Linked DNA regions of Mus musculus. The protein of the gene in region 2 interacts with the protein of the main gene of each other region in a pairwise test. Links are inferred from orthologs where the notes say so. Each region holds a gene or a part of one and is shown on either strand. Other genes may lie near its edges.

Region 1 (10,737 bases), on a different chromosome or scaffold from region 2:
CTTCAGTGCCTCTGCATGTTGTGTAAAAAACCTTAGAAGCGAAGGACAAAGAGGTGCCCTAATAAGACACATACACTGTACAAACAAAACCGAAATTATATATAAATACACCCCACCCAGGATCCCTTTCTTCTCCCACTACCTGCCCAAAGCAATGCCAAAGGCCCTTCTCTCTAGGACCAACGCAGGGTATGAAACACCGAGCATCTCTAACCTTGCAGATACGTTAGTCACCTGCAGCCTACTGGTGGTTCTGCAAGTGCAGGAAGCAGTTTCCCTGGAAGCATGGTCACTGTTGGCTGAGATCCTGGGACTTAATCTTTCAGATGACCTAGCTGGATCCCACCGTATCCACCAGGGAGGCAGCACTGTCTACTCAGAAGCTCCAAAGGCATTGCTTAGGGATACTGGGCAGGGTCTCAGAAGACAAAGTATACAATGAGCTAACAGCCTAGGTTGATATAAATTACTTCTCAGTAAGTAATTTGGGGCAACTTGCTTCTGCTTAACACTGCATTCTGGAACCATTTTCATAGCATACTATTAAAAACTGATATATAGTTATTTAAAAAGCTGTCTATGCAATCACCTCTTATATGCTTTCCATTAATTTAATAACAACTTAATGAGCTATTATGTAAATCTAAGGAATAGTTAGCCTTAAGGAAGCCAATACTGTGCTAATTCACAGGAAGGAGAAAAAGCAATGCAAACAAAAGTTCCCATCATCGACAAGAACTTTAGAGCTTTATCGAAGTGTTGCAAAAATGTCCCCAAAAGCACTTATAGCAATTTATGTCAAGAAGCCAAAGTTGAGGGGTAAGGGGAATATGTTCAAATTCTTTAAGGTAAAAATTCACTTATTTTATGCTTGTTATACATAAATTTCCCCCTTAGACCTAAGTTCATAATTTGTAGACATTGCTCATTCTCTGATACATTAATACATATACTAAATATAAATAAATTAATCGAGAATGCTTAAAAATCCAAGTTAACATGATGCTGTGCCAAAAACAAAACAAAACAAAACCCAAGAAAACATAAGAACCAAACCTTGCACAATCTACATTCTATGTAAATACCCTGACTAAAATGTCGGTTGTGCTACGCAATTCCACGTCAGTGCAGATTTGATGTACCGCTGTTGTTTTTAAGGTCTTTAGCACTTTTGTTTCTAAATATCACCTTGCTTTGAAATGATGAGTAATTGCTATCAAATCACAAATCATCACAAATCCATTTTAGTTTAGTCTGAATAAAAACCAGATAAATGTATTACTTTGTTCTGGGTATAATGGCTCAGTGTCTTTCTTGCGAGTTTTCTTCTTCTGGGCAAACCACAGATGAGGTTGTCACTCTGGACTTAAACTGCACAGAAAGAGACAGTGAAGTCTGTCTTTGTTTTTGTTTTCTTTTTAAGTCTCCAGATCTGGTTAGGACACTTCTTTCAGACATGTAGTTGTGGCACCTGATCGATCATATTTGAAATAGAAGTGCTTTAAACATCAGCCAAGTTTGGTGATCTGGAGGTCCCCATTGATCTTTATGGTGTCAATTGCAGATAATGTTTGAATACGGTGATAAAAATCAAAAAGTTGGTGTCCATCCACAAACACTCTGAAACGTGGGTGCTCGCAAAGAATCTCCACCTAGAAGAAACAAAAATAATAACAATGCATAATTTTGGATGAATCCTGCTGGAGTAAGGGGGAAACCAACAACATAACCACACTTCATTGTGGAGAAGATAAGCAAGGCCCACCGTAGATCTCAAACATCACAAATTGCTGAATGCTAGCTAGGGTGCAGACTGCTGGGTTCCCATTCCCCCAGCTCTCAATTCAGGAAGTCCAGAGCTCGATCTAAAAATCTGCACCCTCCCCAGTGCTAAGGCTGGAGCAGGGAACCCACTGAGAGAATCACCACTCCATACCAGTGAAAGATTTGGAACAGACAATTCCTCCCATATTCCAGGTAGAGGTGTGAAGGAGCACCAATCTCTTCACATGACACTTGATGCCAAACAAGCCATCCTACCTGCAGGGGGGCCTCTCCTGATGCATGGCTGGTAGCCCTTAGCAGCATCTAATAATAGTCTAGACAATCATGGTAAATAAACACTAAGGGAGATTACACAGTAATAAGCATTGGACCAAGAATGTGTAATTAACAAGGCTTTGTTAAAACAAACAAACACTGACTCCACATGGTAAACCTTTTCCCTCTCTTTCTCCATAATTCACCACAGAGGTTTGTTGGGATTTTGTTTGTTTGCTTGTTTGTTGAGACAGGGCTTCTTCATATAGCTCTGACTGTCCTGGAACTCACTCTGTAGACCAGGCTGGCCTCAATTTCACAGAGATCTGTCCGCCTCTGCCTCCCAAGTGCTGGGACCAAGGGTATGAGCCACCACCTCCTGGCCACCACAGAGCTTATGAATTGGCTGTGCTATGATGCTTGTAGAAAAGCATTGACAGTTATCATTAAGGGATGCCATATGTGGTATCAGTCACATTTAATTCATATTACTGCTTAAATTATACCATCAAAAAGTTCTATTTCACTCCATTTGTGTAAACTTTATTTAGAGACAAGGTTTCTCTGTGTAGCCCTGGTAGTCGTCAAACTTACTCTGTAGACCAGACAGGCCTTGAACTCACAGAGATCCACCTGCCCCTGCCTCCTAAGTGCTGGAATTGAAGGCGTGAGCCACCACCCAGCTTATTTCACTACATTTTTTTGTTGCTGGGAAGCAATGTAACCCTTCTAGTCAGTAGCTCACAATCATGAACCAGGCATAAGGATTTACCGTCTGAGATAGCTCTGTTGAGGAAATACTCGACTGGTAAGTAAGAGGACCCAAGTATAATTCTCTATTTTCCCACAAGAATGGCAGGTTCTGAATGCACCTGTAATACCAGCAGTAGAGTGGTGGGGATCTGGGCTCACTCGCCAGCCCAGTTTAGCCTAATCAGTGCGATCCAGGCTAGTGAGGGAGGCAGATGGTGGTGTTCCTAAGGATGGCACCTGAATTGCCTTCCAGTTTGCAAGCTCACACACACACACACACACACACACACACACACACGGCTTACCATGTAAGAACGTGGCATAGCAAGAGGAGCCCGCAAGGGGTTACCATTCTAAAGGAGGAGCTAAGGTAATGGGGAAACGTCCTAGATTCCGGTCGTAAGGGGAACAATCTCATTTCCTTTACTGATGTAAAAAAGTTATGGATTTTTGTTTTGTTCTAGACTCTAAGGAAAGAGAAACAGTCACGGTTCTTGAGAAGACCCACGTGAAGTGCAAGGTATCAAGAGCAGTTCTGTTTACTCTGGTCTATACGTAGCACAGAGCTTTTAACCGAGGTGCCGTTACTGACGTATGGTACGATTCATGCAGACAGCAGCCTCATCTCCAGGCCTGACCCGTACACAAGTCTGTTCTTATATTACTGACTTGCACCTCTTATTTGTCCTGCAGAGGAAGGTAGTGAGTGCTACTGCTGCCTGATGGGGTGGCAAACTGGGTTGTTTCCTGCCTGTTAGAGACTGGGAGCCAAGGAGCTCTACCCAAGCCCTAGGGAAGAAACCTGTCAGCCACACAGCTTATGACCATGAAACAGACACGCTTAATTAACCCACACGGGAAAATAGTTATACAAATATGGACTCATTAGCAAAGTGAACAAGAGAAAATGAAATGATAACCACTAAATTGTTTTAAACCCATAACTAATAAGGTTTTGAGGTATTTAGGCCAAGAAACATGAAAATTCTGGATACTTACTAATATCTAGTGATCAATCAGATACTTGGGGGTAGGTTATTTATGTGCCTCACACTATATTGGGAATTACACAGAAAATTATTACTACATTAATACCCCAGCTTGACCTGATGGCATAGGCCTGTAATCTAAAATACTCTGTAAACTGAGCCAGGAGGATTACAAATTCAAGGCCAGCCGGGGAATTTAGAGAGTTCCTGTTTCAAAACAGAAATCAAAACGAGGATTGGGAGTGTAGCTAAGTTGTAGAAACCTTAACTAATGTGCACAAGGTTCAGTCCCTAGCACCACCCCAGAAGTTAACAATAATTAATACCTCCGCACTGGCTAAGTAGAATTACAGTTAAGTACTTAGCAATTAGGTATGCATATATGCATCCATTAACTAAACATATGGTCTGAAGAGAATCAAGAGCTACTAAGGCAAGCATTAACATCTATCAGCAAACAGACTTCTTTTGTTGTTTTTTATTCTTTTCTCTCGGCCTCGAGACAAGTTCCGGGCAACAAATTTCTTGGACATGAAGAAATTCTTAAAGAGCTCTTGGCACACAGTAGATACAGAGTAAGTAGGGGCCCTGCCAACACTGCATCAGGCACTCAAGGTACCTACCCTGAACGGCTGGTCTGGGATGAATGGAAAGTAAGGGATTGCCGACTGCTCCTCGCCTCTTTCTCCTGAGATACAAGAGTTTCTGAGCAGCTGCCGGTCTGTGAACACAGCTTTGAGTTCAATTGCCACATCGGCAGGAGGATCTTCAGAGTCTCCACAGGTCAAGCTGATGGCAAAGCTAAAAAGAAAACAGTGTCACTTAGCCAGGAGTCAGATGTAACATTTTAACTTGACCCAGTTCCTCCTCCAGTGGGTTCATCGGCTTTTAATGGGCTGCTACTGTTTACACAGTTTAAACACAGACACTAAGGATTACACTCAAACCAATAGATTTTGTTACCTAAAGTAGGCTCTGGTGAAAACTCCAGTGGAACTGAAAATAATTACAACTGAAGACTTCAAATGCCTCAGGCCACCCTTGCATTAATCCATCTCAGAGTTCTCAAAAACAGCCACAGAACTTGACAAGGGAAACATCTTGTAAGTTTGGTTCTTATTTATTCTAACAGGTTTGGTTACGACTACCGTGTTTCAAAACCATAAAAAAAGAAGTCTTTTGGCCTTCTCAAGGGTCAAAGATTAACTGTAGGCCTATTTTTATCATCACTGATATAAATAGCTATCTGCAGAGATGATGGCTAGGATTGATACACATTCTTTTCATGGGAACATGGTACTTTCTTGGCACTCCTAACTAGTGACACTGTGCAAGTAGGGTAAGGGGAGGAGGCAGCCGCGGGACTCAGCAATGGCAGGGCTCTGCCCTTACCTTTCGGGGTTGAGATCTACGATGCCCATCACTAATACCTTCTTGCCTGGTCTCATGCCACCTTTAATGTGCCCACAAAATGGAACTATCTGCAAAGGAAGAGGGGAGAGACAGGATGTTTATGGGCTGTTAGAGACGAGCCAAACCCTCAGCCCTGAGAATCAGACCCATTAGAAAGCAAGGAAATGCACCAGAGGGGAAAAGGATAAAGGCAGAGACACGGAGCACATTGATTTACCAGTCGTGGGAAGTACACGTCGGCTTGAACTGGAGAACCCAAGGAGTTGTTTAAGTGCCCATCATCAAGTTTCTAAAAATAGAAGCACACAGATTGGCTTTCCACAGACCCTTGTTTATTAGGGAGTGAATGGAAGGATGAGGAATCAACACAAATCTGTAGTGATCCAGCAGCCCTCCACAGACACACATACATATGATGCCTCTTTATAGCCCATTAAATAACCGCGAAACAAAACCCGGCCTTTCCATCCGGTCTAAGCCTCTGATGATCCCCAGGCTCTTGAGACCGGATCAAATTCAAGGTCGCGGCCCACCCGGGAAGCAAAGCCCGTGTAGGTGGGCGGCAGGCCCCTCTCCAAGCACAAACGCTCCCGGAGTCTCTGCCCCCTGGCCTGTCCTCGGGGACGTGGCTGGAGTGCAGCGGCAGCGCTCGGCTTCTCTCCGGAGCCCCCGGCGCGGGACCGTTTCCAAAGGGGTAAATCCCGGACGCCGGGACCGCGGCCCCACACTAACCCACGTGCACGCACACGCGCCCAGCGCGCACCTGGCCGGCGCCCTCCTGCCCCGCGCCCGGGGCCCCCCGAGCTCGCACCCCGCGGCGGCTGACAGGTACCGCGCTTCCCGCGGCACCGCGGGTCCGTAGTCCTTGCCCCGGCCCTCTGAGCTACCCGCCTCGCGGGAGGCCGCTGCACTCACCACCACGGCGTCGCTGTCGGCCACCGACCCCGCCATGTTCCTGCAGCGAGCGCCGGGGACGCGGCGGCGGGCGCGGGTCCGAGCCGGGCGCGCGCACACACGGGCGCGCGTGCACGCCCCAGGCTGGCGCGGCCGCAGGCCCGGGAGGGGGAAGGGAGGCGGGCGGCGCGGAGATCGCGGCGGCGAGGGGATGACGGTGGCGAGGGCCGCAGTGCGTTGGCCTGGGGTGGCATTTAAAGGCGGCAGGGCTCGGCTCGGGAACCGAGAACCGGGAACAGGGCGGGGACGGGGCCCGGGAGCCGCGGCTTGCTAAGCGTGCCCTGCCCTACGGCCATTGGACCACGGCTGAAGGCCGGAGGGCGGTGGCCTGTCGGCGGGAAGGTGGGTGGGGCTGGGGAAAGGGGTGAAGGGAGGGCCCAGGTGGGCCAGGTGACAGGTGCTGGGGACACTCCTGGTCGGTACCCTACTCACTCACCTCCTTCCGCATCCTGGGGGACTGTGGGGGTGGATCAGGAGTGAGGTCGAGAGAAGGTGGAGGACTCCAAAGAGGAAGACCTGGTATGGCTTCTTTCAGAGAATTCCAACCTAGTGGGAGGAAAGATAGTTGCACTGTTTGGAGGAGAAGGAGAATGGAGGTCCAAGGCTTGTACATATTTGACCCTAAATAAAGAAGCAGCCAGGACTCTAGGGGGACAGTTTGCTGAGCGCCGACCAACCCTCTGTTCCCAGGGAAGCGCAGGCTAGTGTCGGGGTCCCGGAAGCATTCTTCAGCAGGTGCCCGGCCAAGCCGCAACTTGAAGTGGACACAGTTTCTGTCCTTAGCTATTTTACGTCACTTGCTTAGTTTGGGGTAATGGAGTCTCCAGTCCTTCTTTGTGTAATACTTCCTAGGGAATACACTCCTCTTTCACGCTAAGGCTCAGACTCCTGTAATGGTATCCTGACACTAGCATAATTATGTAACTTCTCAGATAAGGCTGTATCAACATACTCTCTATTAGGTGACATACTCGGCTTGCCCAATGCACTGTGTGAATCACCACACTAATAAGCAAGGAGCTTGAGCAAGTGAGCTGCTACAGTCCCAGAGGGGCCCTTTGGGGGACCTGGCGTCTCTGCAGCTTTTGTGTCCCTTTATGGACCAGTGCTAATCATGGTAATCTCTGTGGGACAGGGAACATGCCTGTAATCCACAGTCGGAGCCTTTGTGGAAGTGGTTCTCAGAATTAGAGACTGAAGAGTTGTCATTGTGGCTCCCATTTTGCTCCTGTTTACTCATCTGAGCTTGAGAATCACACCTATTAATTATTCTAACATACTAGGCAATTACAAGAAACTTGATATTTTAAAGTCATACTTTGATTCTCTGAATTTCTAAGAGTCAGCATAGGGAAAAAATCATTGAATTATTTGCTATTAGCTAAGCGTGGTACAATATATCATGGTTATTATAAAGGGCTGGTGTCTTGGGTCCAAATTTAGTTTCTTATTACTGATAGTAGCGTGCCTTAATTTCTTCATCAGACATGATAATAATTACTACGATGATCCTATCTTGAATTACTGTGAAGATTAATAAATTGGTTCACACACCTTCCCCAGAAGAACACTCAGCACATTCTAAGCAACAGTTTTGAGTGTCTGCTGTTGACCAAGAGCTGAGAATTAGCAGGGGCATTGCTGAAATTACATTGTAGCGAGGAGAGGCAGACATAAGCAAACTTGCAAGTATATAGGTAGTAAGACAGAAAAATAAGGCGGGGAGGAGGAGAGTGCAGGATGATGCTATTAAAGTAGGGTAGTCTGGGAAAGTGACATTGAGAATTCTGAAGGAGGGAGGGAGAAAGGGAGGGAGGAAGGGAGGGACAAAGGGAGGGCTGGCTCAACCTCCAGAAGAGGTTGCTGGCTCAGGAACTGTAAAGATAAAGTTTGCAAGATGGGACCTGTAGATTAATGCTGGACATGTGGAGCAGAAGTGAAGGCTGAGGTCTTGGAGACACCTTTTACTTGAAGGGAACAGAAAGACACTGGAAGTTTCTGAGCCAGGGAGAGGAGGTTTGGTTTTGGAGGTTCTGGGGAGCAAACCCATGGCCTTGTATGTGCAGGGCAAGCATACTGGCACTGAGTCACATCATGGACCTGTACTCTCTGATGTTGACGCATCCCTGTAGCTGATGTAACAAGGGCCAGAGAACAGGCAGCATGTAGCCAGGGCAGGAGGACAGGAGGAGGGGGCTCAGGTTCTGTGTACCTGCATCTGTGCTCACAGATTTCTGACATTGTGAGGAGACCATTGCCTGCAGCTGGGCCACCACCCTGCCCAATTGCTCTAAGAACTGGGACTCAACAAAGATTTGCAAAATATCCCACTGCTGAGGTTTGTTATCCCATGATGCTGATTCCCTCAGACTCCCACTGGGAAGGGAAGCCACAGCCCACTCTAACAAACAGGGCCCCACACACTGCTCTAAGTCCATTAGGCACTTAGTTTTTAATAACTGTTTTTGTCAAGCCAGTCTCCACTCTTATGAGCAACATTCACACAAGAAAAAAAAAAAAATCTCCAAACTCAGCATTCTTTGATTGCCTACTTAGGTAGGAGGGCACAACTTATCAAACAACTTTTCTGTATTTCAAAACATGATTACAGGTTTTAATTATTTTAGGAACTATGGCCTAGTTATCAAATGATTCTTTTAGACATACACAGAATTTTCTCATACCCAAACAATTAGGAGAATGCTGTAAAACTTGGCAGTCAACACTAGTTTTGAACATTTCATTAACTTCGGTTATTTATGGGGAAGCTAGATTCAGCCTCCGGTGTGTGTTTTAATTACAGACCAAAATAAAAGCCTCCCTCTGAAGAAGATGGTCATGACCCATTCCCTAGAGGAGCGTGGGGCTTCAAAGATGCAGTTCCATGTCCCCTTGTCCCCTTCCACATGGCAACAGAAGCCTGGCAAGGAGGAGGCAGAGGACCCTGCTTCTGCCTTCAGAGCTGGTGCTGTGAACAGGAGGTGTTTGGAGACTCCTCACAGCCAGATTAGTGCCTGTTCTGGGAGTCGCTGCCACGTACCCAAGCCTTCTCTCCAGCTTACCTTCAGCGATTTCCAAGAGACCACTGACCTGAGTCCAGTGCTTGATCTGCCAGAGTGTGACAGGACTGTGTGACTGAACCTGAAGTCTAATTACATCTCTTCATTGTTTCTGGACACTTCTGGTTGCATTTGTTGGCACGTAGTCCTCCCTTTTGTTGTTTTTATGATTTTATTTTATTTTTTTATTTGGTGGTTTAAAGGGCTTTTTCATCTTGTAGTTTTGCAGAAACTTGCCTGGTTTGGCTAGAAGGAAAGAGACATTCTGTCCCCTGGGGATTTAGACGCCCTGACCCACAGGAGGGAAAACGGGAAGCATCTACCTGGCTCTCAGGAGTTGGAGAGGAAATGTCTAGCTGACACAGACCTCCAGCCTCCTTCAAAGCTGGAAACTAACAGCCCAGCTTCTACAAGGAACATGGAAGTTTAAGTTTGATATCTACAGTGAATGTCCATGTACTTTGCATATCTAGCAGTTCATTGAGCTGGGCTGTGCTTTAATTGCTATTTTGTTAATGTTGTACTTTCATAAAAAAGACTAAGCATGGTGGCAAAGGTCTTTAATCCCAGCACTGGGGACGCAGGGGCAGACAGATCTCTTGTGAGTTCAGTGACCAGCCTGGTCTATGTATCAAGTTCCTCAGGTAAGCCAGGACTACATAGTGAGACCACCCTCTGCCCCTGGCAAGACAACAATGCAAAACCCTGAGAGCAAAGTCAAAACCAAGCACACACACATCTTCACTTAAAGCGCCTAGCTCTGAGTATGGTAAGGACACCACTGTTACCATAATGCTGGGGCTAAGGACACACCATTCCAAAATAGTCCACCCACAGGGTAGCTCTTTGGCATATTTCAGCTGGTTTATCCTGAGAATTTGCAGTTAGGAGTAGCTCTGAAAAAAAAAATTCACCTATTGTACTGGCTAGTTTTGTGTCAACTTGACGCAGCTGGAGTTATCACAGAGAAAGGAGCTTCAGTTGAGGAAATGCCTCCATGAGATCCAGCTGTAAGGCATTTTCTCAATTAGTGATCAAGGGGGAAAGGCCCCTTGTGGGTGGTGCCATCTCTGGGCTGGTAGTCTTGGTTCTATAAGAGAGCAGGCTGAGCAAGCCAGGGGAAGCAAGCCAATAGGGGACATCCCTCCGTGGCCTCTGCATCAGCTCCTGCTTCCTGAACTGTTTGAGTTCCAGTCCTGACTTCCTTGGTGATAAACAGCAGAATGGAAGTGTAAGCTGAATAAACCCTTTCCTCCCCAACTTGCTTCTTAGTCATGATGTTTGTGTAGGAATAGAAACCCTGACTAAGACACCTATAAAAGAAATAAACTGTGTTAGTAATTACCTGTATCAGGAAGCAGTATGCCCCAAATGATTTTATGCCTGGAGAGGACATAGAACCAGACAGCCTTTATGCACCACGAATTTCTAGGTTCACTTTCCCATAACATGTCATTCCCCACCCAAGCCCCTGTTCTCCGTAGCTTAGGGTGCTATACAAGCTTCTGTCTTCTGCCCTTTCTCTGATT
Region 2 (9,997 bases):
TCCTGTACCCTTGCCTACATTCTAGAGATCTACCTGAGGCTGTCTGGCTTGCATGGTAATGGATTCATCCACTGAGTACCTCAGCCCCCATCCACTTGTTAAGGACCAGTTGCTGGGAAATAAACCCAGGCATCACACATTCTTTTCTTTTTTTTTTCTTTTTTTTTTTTTTTTTTTTTTTTAGTTTTTTCGAGATAGGGTTTCTCTGTGTAGCCCTGGCTGTCCTGGAACTCACTTTGTAGACCAGGTTGTCCTGGAACTCAGAAATCCGCCTGCCTCTGCCTCCCGAGTGCTGGGATTAAAGGCCTGCACTACCACACCTGGCTGCATCACACATTCTTAGTGCACACTCCAGCATATGTCCTGGCCCCAGACCCAGCTTCTCATGTTAAGGGAGCACATTTAATACAGCTGGTCTGCATCTGTCACCATCACAGAACAAGTGTAGCCACAAGGGTGAATCCATGTCACCCAGAGTTCAGCCTTGACCCTGGCCTGTACCCAAATCTCTGCCCTTGGTGCACAGGGAAGGTAAGCAGGTGACACTGAGCTTCCAAGGTGCCAGGCAGCCTAGCAGCCCAGGGCAATGCATGAACGGCAGCTATCAGGAGACCAAGGGGGCTATGAAGCAAGAGACCAGTGCCCTTTGCCTTCTAGAAAGGATAGTTACCAGCTGAGATGCTTCCTAAGGACATGAGCCTGCTGGACCTTACAAACACAGCTGGTAGAAGCCCTGCACTCCTCAGTTAAGAGAAGAGGGGTCCAGGGCAGTATGGCTCCTAAGAAGGGTCTCCCCGCATTCCTCGATGAGAATGTGGAGCACCATAAGCACCCACTCCTCTCTCTTGCTTGGCCCAGGTAGCTAGACAGCAACCAAGGATCAGCTTGCCCTCAAAGCAGCCAAGCTCTGCACAGGGCAGTCAGTTGGGGAAAGGGCTCACACAGCAGCTAGACACTGCAACCTGGCCACTGTGACCTGTGCTACTCCAGCCAAGGCAACGGCTCCACAGAACTGATTGACACTAAGTACCATGCGGCAGGCACCAGACACGCAGGCAAACCAGAACACCAGTGTTCCAACAGGGCTGGTCCAACTGGGCATGAGGGGCCTCTGATCTCCATCACAAGAAAGAAGTCACGGAGGTGTCTTGTCTGGGCAGAGTATCCCCAGGGGTAGGAGGGACCCTTGCCGGCAGCTAACAAGCCCAGAAGACAGGAGGAAGCACACAGCACTGGGCCTGCTGGGCCAGCCTCTGAAAGAAGGGTTCTGCAGATGGACTGGAAAGGAAATGAAGAGGCACTGTCAAGTAACAGAATGGAAGGCAATGCTGCCATCAAAAGGTGACGGCTCCAGAGCCAGCAGGGGACAGTGTGATTATAAGACAGCTGAGCTCAGGCAGTTTTCATCTGGCCTTGTTACTCAGAGCAGCAGGAAGACAGCCAGCAAGCCGGAAGTATTACAACAAAGGGCTGCTTGAATCCCACAGGCCTTAGCTCCAACACCTTATCCCAACTAATACACCACAACTGCCCTGAGTCCTAGAACAGACACAGCCATCATGAAGGGTGACAGCCAGACCAAGACTCAGGGATCACAGCTGTTGATGGCAGCTGAGAGTCAACCCAAAACTGAACTACAAATGCATCAGGCCATCAGTGAATGACACCTCACAACTGTACAGATGGGAAAGCCACAGGGAACACCCTGCCCTTGCTATGTGTTGAACACACAGTGCCCAGCATCTCTGCCCTGTGATCCACTCTGCATTTCTGCACTCATACCTGACACAGACCAGTAACATGAGATGCTCCAAAGGACCCAGTGGGACATGAATCTTCCAGTATTATTGGGTTTTAACTCAGTCAGTCAATCCCCAAAGTTTATCATTTTCCCCCAAAGCAGTGACTTCCTTACATGCACTGGGTCCTGTGAGCATGCAGGCCATTGCAATGCCCTTTCCCCACCATCAGCTCTGTGGAGATACAGATTCTCAACAGTCTTTACAGTAAGGCTCAATCGCCCTGCCATGTAAAGCACTCATTAAGCCTAAACAAGAGCTCCTCACCACAGCACAAGAAGGAGCCTGCCTGCCCTGTCCTCTGCAGACTCTGAGCCAGGAGGCAGAAGAAAGCACTGGAAGCCAGCAGCCAGGGGTGAAGACAGCAACAGCTTACCTACCTGAGATTCAAGCCCATGGTCTGGTCCAGGTTCTCCCAGCTCTGCAGCTTTGCAAGTAGCTTCTAGAAAGACAGTTATAGCCATCAGTATCTCTTGCCCAGCAACTGTCATGTGAAAGCAAACAATGACAAAGGTACTGGAGTCTCCCATCCTATCTGTGATCACAGGTGGTTAGGTGATCTTAGCAGATGAAGGTACATGACTGGCCTAGGCCTTGCTCCTTCCTGCCCCATGGTGCAAGTCCAGCCAAATTAGCCAGGAGCCTCTTTCAGAAAGCTAAGTCCTAGAATGCTAAGTCCTAGACCTACTGACCGACAAACTCTGTTCTAGAGCCACGGTTTCCCTAATTCTATGGTAGGCCAGGACCAAAATGACTTAGATGCGGGCTAGCAAGCCATGAGGAGGAAACAGGGTCATCTATGCCCGTGTGCCTGCTCCAGACCAGCTTGATTCCCACAAAGTCTCTCTCCCTACCCCTTTGGAGCTGAAATGAATATGTGCTTCAGATCAGCCCCATCTTTAGGGGGCCAGCACATAGCTGATACCAAGGGTTCACTCATGATTCTGGACCTACCAGCCCTGCAGATCCAAAGCTGCAAGATCTCTATGCCACAGGATATCTGAGAGGAGTTCCGGTCAGGAACTAATAGTGTAGCAGAAGCCAGAGACCTCAAACCAGCCAAATGACTCTTTGCAATGAACACTACAGTTCCTACAACAATTCTTTCTTTTTGGGGGGAAGTTACAAGGGCAGAGGGCAGAGGACAAAGAGATGAATGGAATTGGGGTTCATGATATGAAATTCACAAATTCAACAAAAAGTTAAATAAAATTGTTTTTAAAGGTTCTCGGCCCACAAGGCATGCCCCATGGCTTTAATCCCAGAACTCTGGAGGGAAAAGCAAGCAGACCTCTGAAAGTCCAGAGACAGCCTGGTCTACATAGGAAGTTCCAAGCCAGCCAAGAATAATACTGACAAAAAAACAAAAAACAACCTGTGCCCAGCTCATGTTTTCATACTGTCAACTTTTCATTTTGCAAAGTTTCCAATTTTGATAAAATTCAAATTATCATGTTATTTTTTCTTTATAAATAATTGTTGTAAGTTATAGCTAAATAGTCAATATAAAACCTAAGATATTATAAATGTTATTTTATTTGCTTCTATAGTGGAAGAAACATATGCATAGTTTCCTATTTTACATTTAGAGCAGACTTTGGTATAGCATTTAAGGTATGGACTCACCTTTTAAACTCAGATGGATATTTAATTTTTGTGAACAATCTGTTGATTGGCCTTTCAACTCTCCCTTAAAAAGCTTTTGGAGATTTGTTAAATAAAAACTAACTAGACTTTTAAAAAAACAAACAAACAAACAAAAAAACCTGTGCCCAGGACGGGCAGCATAGCGAGGGCCAGCAAGATAAAGGAGCTCATTACCATGCCTGGCGACCTGAGTCTGAGCCCCAGAATACACACAGTGGGAGAAAACTTACTCTCACAAATTGTCCTGGAAAATCCACACAAACACCACTGCACATGCACACACTTGCTCTTTCCCACATACATACAGATATACACACACAAGCACACATATATATATGCATATACACACACACACAAAATGTATATACATTGTGGCACATGGGTTCACTTTTTCTCACATACATACACACACACATATCTACATACACATATACATTGTGGCATGTGCACTCATTTTTTTCTCACATGCATACCTACACATACACACATATATACATACATACACACATACACTAAGACACATGTACTCACTCTTTCTAACACACACACATACTCACACACACAAACATAAAATAAAAACTTTAAAAGGGTGGGACAGCTGCTCAGCTACTAACTTTTCCACCACCAGCATTACAGGACACTGTTCCCAGCTAGGCCCTGACCACTTTTCACAGGTGGGCATGGATAGACCCAGTGTCAACAGCAAGCACACTTCCATATAGGACTTCAAGCTAAGCGCCCTAAACCTCAAAACTGTCAAAGACAAACAAACAAAAAACATTACATCCAGGTGTGATATAAATTATGTTGGTAAATGTCATGTGCTGTTTGCATGACATTTGGGCTCATGAAAGTGGGCTCACGGACCAAGGTGGCCTTCATTATCTCAGAGTCCAACCAGTTTATGTCAAGATCTGGGACAGGCTGGCCCCTGGTCCAGCAACAAGGAGAAACGAGAACTACAAGCTGCTATGAATTATGACATTACAAAATCTTGGTGCCTGCCCAGTAGTGGAACTCAGGAAGCAGAGGTAGGTGGATCTGAGTTCGAGGCTAGCCTAGTCTATAGAGTTAAGTTCCAAAATAGCCAGGGATACACAGAGAAACCCTGTCTGGGGGGCTAGGGGTGGGGGCTTAAGAATAGCTAAAGGGGAGCCGGGCGTGGTGGCGCACGCCTTTAAACCCAGCACTCGGGAGGCAGAGGCAGGCGGATTTCTGAGTTCGAGGCTAGCCTCGTCTACAAAGTGAGTTCCGGGATAGCCAAGGCTATACAGAGAAACCCTGTCTCGAAAAACCAAAAAAAAAAAAAAAAAAAAAAATAGCTAAAGGGGGAAGCATCCAACAAAGGTAACCACTGCTTATTCATGGTATAAAAATTCCTGTTGTGGGAGTGTGAAGCCGAAAGCCTCAGCCATGCAGAGACACTGTACCCACAACAGTCTCCTGGGACCCCAGCAGGACTTCTGAGCTGTCTCTGTGGGATGCTGTAAGCTCTCAGTGAGCTGCTTTGCACTGTCTGCTGCATCTCTAGCTGCTGCTTATTATACTGCTCGTTTACCTTTGCTTGCTCTATACTTAACTCCCTCATGCAAGAATAAAAGAATGGCTCTCTGGACAGAATGCCAGAGGAAAGGACAAAAGAAGTTCCAGGTCTTTTTGCCTATAAAGCCAGTGTCCAAGAGAGGCCTGTCTGGGACAGCACAAATAGATAGGAACTGCAGCACGGGCTGGTCACAGAGAACTCTCTGGTGCCAACAGAAACTCATCTGGCTTGGACTTCTAAAAGAAGCCAGAGATGGAGCTTGGGAGATGGTTCAGTCAAGCAAACAGATTATCACACAAGCATGAAACCTGCATTCACTCCCTAATGCTCATTTAACAAAAACTGGGCATAGAACAAACACCTAAAATCCAATGCTGGAGGAGAACAGATAGGCAGAGCTCACTGATCACCCAGCCTAGCTGAATTAGCTAGCCCCAGGTTAAGAGTGAGGCCATCTCAAAACAAAAGGAGAGGCTTCTGAGGCTCTAATACAATGTAGGAAAATAGCCATTGCTATTGGTTGACCACCAGAATTACATAGTAAGATGTTGTTGCTAAAGACAGCACATGCCATCAAGAACAGATAAATCAAGCTAGAACTGAGCTAGAAGCTTCCTCCCTGCTAGCAAGTCTTTGGAGGTCTGCAAGATACTATGCAGGCCGATGGGAAAAACTGTCTTTAACAGTCTTACCCAGCTTTAGAGCCTGTGTGCACAATAACAAGCAGCCAAAATGAGCCTACATGTGCAACAATGGCAGGTATGTTACCAGGGTAACCAACTGCTTTCTAATTGGATTTGATGCTCACTCCAGAAGAGGGAACCCCATCTGGTACTGTAAACCCAGTCAAAAGCTCATGGCTGAGGACAGACCTCAGTACAGAAGCAACAGCTATTGTGTGTAGTGAGTCTGTCAAGTTGCCTTCTAAGCAGCTACACTTATGCCCATAAAATATGTATCACTGTGAGCTTTAATCAAAGAAGCTCCTATTTGCAACAGGCAGCAGTGACTGCAGAATCTCATAACTGATTGTACTACCCACCACACAAGCACGGCATCCCCACAGCTGACCAACTACAACGTGTAATGGAGAATCTCATAACTGATTGTACTACCCACCACACAAGCACGGCATCCCCACAGCTGACCAACTACAACGTATAATGGAGAATCTCATAACTGATTGTACAACCCACCACACAAGCACGGCATCCCCACAGCTGACCAACTACAACGTGTAATGGAGAATCTCATAACTGATTGTACTACCCACCACACAAGCACGGCATCCCCACAGCTGACCAACTACAACGTGTAATGGAGAATCTCATAACTGATTGTACTACCCACCACACAAGCACGGCATCCCCACAGCTGACCAACTACAACGTGTAATGGAGAATCTCATAACTGACTGTACTACCCACCACACAAGCACGGCATCCCCACAGCTGACCAACTACAACGTGTAATGGAGAATCTCATAACTGACTGTACTACCCACCACACAAGCACGGCATCCCCACAGCTGACCAACTACAAGGTGTAATGGAGATGCTCAGGGTGCTCCGGCCAGGGCAGAGGACGGCCCCGGAGAGACAACTCACCCACTACTCACCTCCTTTTCCAACTCCAGGTCAACCAGAGCCTCCTGCATCTTCTCCTGCCGGCTCAGTTTCCTCTGCAGACCTTCCAGCTCCTCTGTGAGCAGCCCATTGGTCTCCTTCATCTCCCTACAGGGCCAGAACAGTCACGCACGTGGAGGACAAGCCCCAGGGACACCAAGCCCAGGGCCCAACTACCAACTAGGGGCAGCAGGCTGTGCATGAGCCCTCACCTTAGATGAGTGTTCTCTTCATGCAGCCTCTTCAGCTCACGCTCCATCCTGGGCATCCGCATCAGCTCAGACTTCATGCTCTTCACCACAGCTGCATCCTGCTCTTGTAGACACAGCTTCTGCTCCAGGTCCTGTGAGAGAGAGAGAGAGTAAGCAGCCAGAAGAACTGCACACACAGCCTCTGTAAAACAGAGAGGCTGGGCTGAAAGACATGCAGGTCTTCAACCACGGAATGATCTGGAGAAGGCAGACAGACAGACATGGAGATCATGACAGTCAGTTTAAGAGAAGACACAAAAAAATGGAGGTGTCAGAAGCTAGGGAACCTGCTCGGTCAGTAATCACTTGCCATGCAAGAAAGTATGAGGCCCTAAATCCCCTCAATGCTTCCTAACACACACACACACACACACACACACACACACACACACACACACACTTTTTTTTTTTTTAAAGACTGGTATAGTAACACAGGCTTTTAATCTCAGCACTCAGGAGGCAGAGACAAGTGGATCTCTGTGAGTTCAAGGTCAGCCTGGTCTACATAGTGATTTCCAGAACAGCCAGGGCTACATAGAACGACTTGCAGAAATAAATAAAGGAAGGAAGGAAGGAAGGAAGGAAGGAAGGAAGGAAGGAAGGAAGGAAGATAGATAGATAGATTAAATGAAAAACAAAGCCAACCAGACCTGTCCAGAAAAGAAAAAAGTAGATAACATCCTAAGGAACAACACTGACCCCCAGCATACATGTCAAACTCACAACTATCTGTAACTCCAGGCCCAGGGGATATGACGTCTCTGGCATGCCCGTACACCCGCATTCACACACACATTCTTACACATACATACCTACATATATACCTAATTTTTAATTAAATAAGCCTTTCTCTTTTCTTTTCTTTTTTCTTTTTTTTTTTTCTTTTCTTCTCTCTTTTTTTTTTTTTCCCTCGGTTTTTCGAGACAGGGTTTCTCTGTGTAGCCCTAGCCATCCTGGAACCCACTCTGTAGACCAGGCTGGCCTCGAACTCAGAAATCTGCATGCCTCTGCCTCCCCAAGTGCTGAGATTAAAGGTGTGTGCCACCACTGCCCGGCTGCCTCTTTTTTTCTTTTTTCTTTTTTTTTTCCTTTTTTTTTTTTTTCTTTTTTTAAGCAAAGCAAAGGTCTTCTAACTTGTCCTAGGACCTCAATGGTCTCCACAGTCCAGACAGTGTAGGAAGTGTTCCAAGGCTAACCCGCTATGCTGCATCCTCAACACCACCTCTGGAGCAGCACTGGAGCACCCAAGAGCCAGTACCCACACCACTGTCCCTCTTGCCTGTGCCTGGCCACACACCATCCAGCCCTCTGGTCCCCAACGGTTCAGTGCCACAGGCCCCTCTGGCCCGCTGTGGTCAGCTTCTGCCACGTGGGTGGTGAACCTGCAACCCTTGCATCTGTTCCCACTGTGCAGCAGGCGTACCTACACTGCACCTGTCACTATGACTCTCAACAAGGTAGCACAGGAACCTAGTGACAAGTCACTGAACAAGCTATATATAAAACCAGGACCAAAACAATTGATCAGGACCCTTCATAGAGCCCAGCTCCATCCAGGTAGAGTCAAGTAGTGGGAACAAAGAGACAGAGAAGACCAACTGGTCAACCTCTATGCACAAGGGAATTGTGAGAGGTAAGAAGGTTGGACTCGGGCCTAGGGAGAAGGCTCAGCAACTAACAATACTTGCTGCTCTTCCAGAGGACCCAAATTCAGTTCCTAGCATCTGGTTAGGCAGCTAGCATCTTAACTCCAATTCCAGGCCTCTTCTGATCTCTGCAGACACCCATACCCACACATATAAAAATAAAAATTGATCTTTAAGCAAATAAGTCCAAAAGACAACAGAGCCAGGTAAAGCAGTGCCAGAGGCACAAGGAGCAGAGCCTACTGCCTTGGTGCTCACACCACACAGAGAGGGAGACAACTGACACAGTCTCCTTCCCAGGACTGGCTATCACAGTAAAGGCAACAGGAAACCATGGAAGGGAGGTCTCGGCGGCGGCACCTCTCCAGCAACACCCACCAGAATAAAGGAGGCTGAACTTAAATCAGAGCCCTGGAGTGGTGATCTCGCTCGGCCATGCTTAGCTGTGCAGACTTGCACAGGATCTCCACCCCCAACTCTACTTCATGGAGCACTCGCTCTCAAACTCATAGTGTCTCATCTTGGCCTCTGTGGCTGGGCTCTCTAAGCCTAGATTGCAGTCCTCTGTGTTAGCCTTTTCCCATGGATTTCTAGTGGGTCGTCATCACTGGGGCACTTGAGCACTCACTGTGGCCTCCAAGGAGCCAGCACAGGGCCTGGCATCCACAAGGCAATCAGCATGCATCCTCATATGCCACTGAGCACACGTCTAGGCAGGAAGGTGTGTGAGTGACAGGAGGGCTGTCCCACCCCTGCCTGGTATAGGAAGCTGCACAGTCTGGCAGGAAGCATCTACCTTAATCTTCTGCTCATGCTCAGCTCTCTCATCTTGACTGGCCTGCAGCTCCTGGATCTTCTGATTTGCCTCTTGCCATTTCCTGTGAGAGAAGTACATGCAAGGTCAGTCCATAATGCCACTTTAACCTTACCCCTAGCCTGGACACACACACACACACCCCTTATCCAGGGAACCTCAAGTCCTAAGCCAACCTTTAAGACTGTGACATTGTCTGATGGGGCTACAAGGGAGCCCAGGCTTCCTGTGGCACGACCTAGTTCTCTATCCACCACTCAATCCACAGTGTCTGCTAGCCTGGCGTCACAGCAAGCATCAGAGGCCACCCAGGCCTGCCCACACTAAGGGTACAATCCTAAGGCAATGCCTGCCCTAGGGTAAGGGCCAGACCTTCAAGGCAGAATCCAAAGGCTCCTGACTGCCACCCACTAGCTACCACATATCTGTGTCCTCTGTGACCTAGAACAGCTTGCCCAAGCACAGCAGCCCACGCCCTCAAAAACCTAGCGTAGCTTCGTCCCTCTGTGGAAGCCAGTCCCAGGAAGAAGGGAACGAGGCTGTCACCGTCTTATTCTGACACACACTTCCCAAGTCCAGAGGCCTCGCTGTGTCCTCCATGCAGCCTTTGGACTGTCTTAGCGACTGGTCAGGCTCTCACCGCTGCTGCAGCTCCAGCTGCTCCTTCAGCTC

The links. The genes of interacting proteins can lie anywhere in the genome.
Region 1: the proteins of Mad1l1 (region 2) and Lgalsl interact in binary tests that used the Homo sapiens proteins (3 or more experiments, as listed by UniProt). The two-hybrid records come from large-scale screens. The link is inferred for Mus musculus from reciprocal best matches to the Homo sapiens genes MAD1L1 and LGALSL.

What each region holds. Positions count from the first base shown.
Region 1 is NC_000077.6:20,824,864-20,835,600, forward strand, and holds the start of Lgalsl (galectin-related protein), read right to left. Parts: upstream 6,246-10,737; 5' UTR 6,147-6,245; coding exon 6,111-6,146; intron 5,485-6,110; coding exon 5,413-5,484; intron 5,264-5,412; coding exon 5,175-5,263; intron 4,584-5,174; coding exon 4,406-4,583; intron 1,653-4,405; coding exon 1,509-1,652; 3' UTR 1-1,508. UniProt on the Homo sapiens protein: Does not bind lactose, and may not bind carbohydrates.
Region 2 is NC_000071.6:140,293,608-140,303,604, forward strand, and holds part of Mad1l1 (mitotic spindle assembly checkpoint protein MAD1), read right to left. Parts: coding exon 9,966-9,997; intron 9,390-9,965; coding exon 9,308-9,389; intron 6,958-9,307; coding exon 6,827-6,957; intron 6,723-6,826; coding exon 6,608-6,722; intron 2,242-6,607; coding exon 2,180-2,241; intron 1-2,179. UniProt on the Homo sapiens protein: Component of the spindle-assembly checkpoint that prevents the onset of anaphase until all chromosomes are properly aligned at the metaphase plate.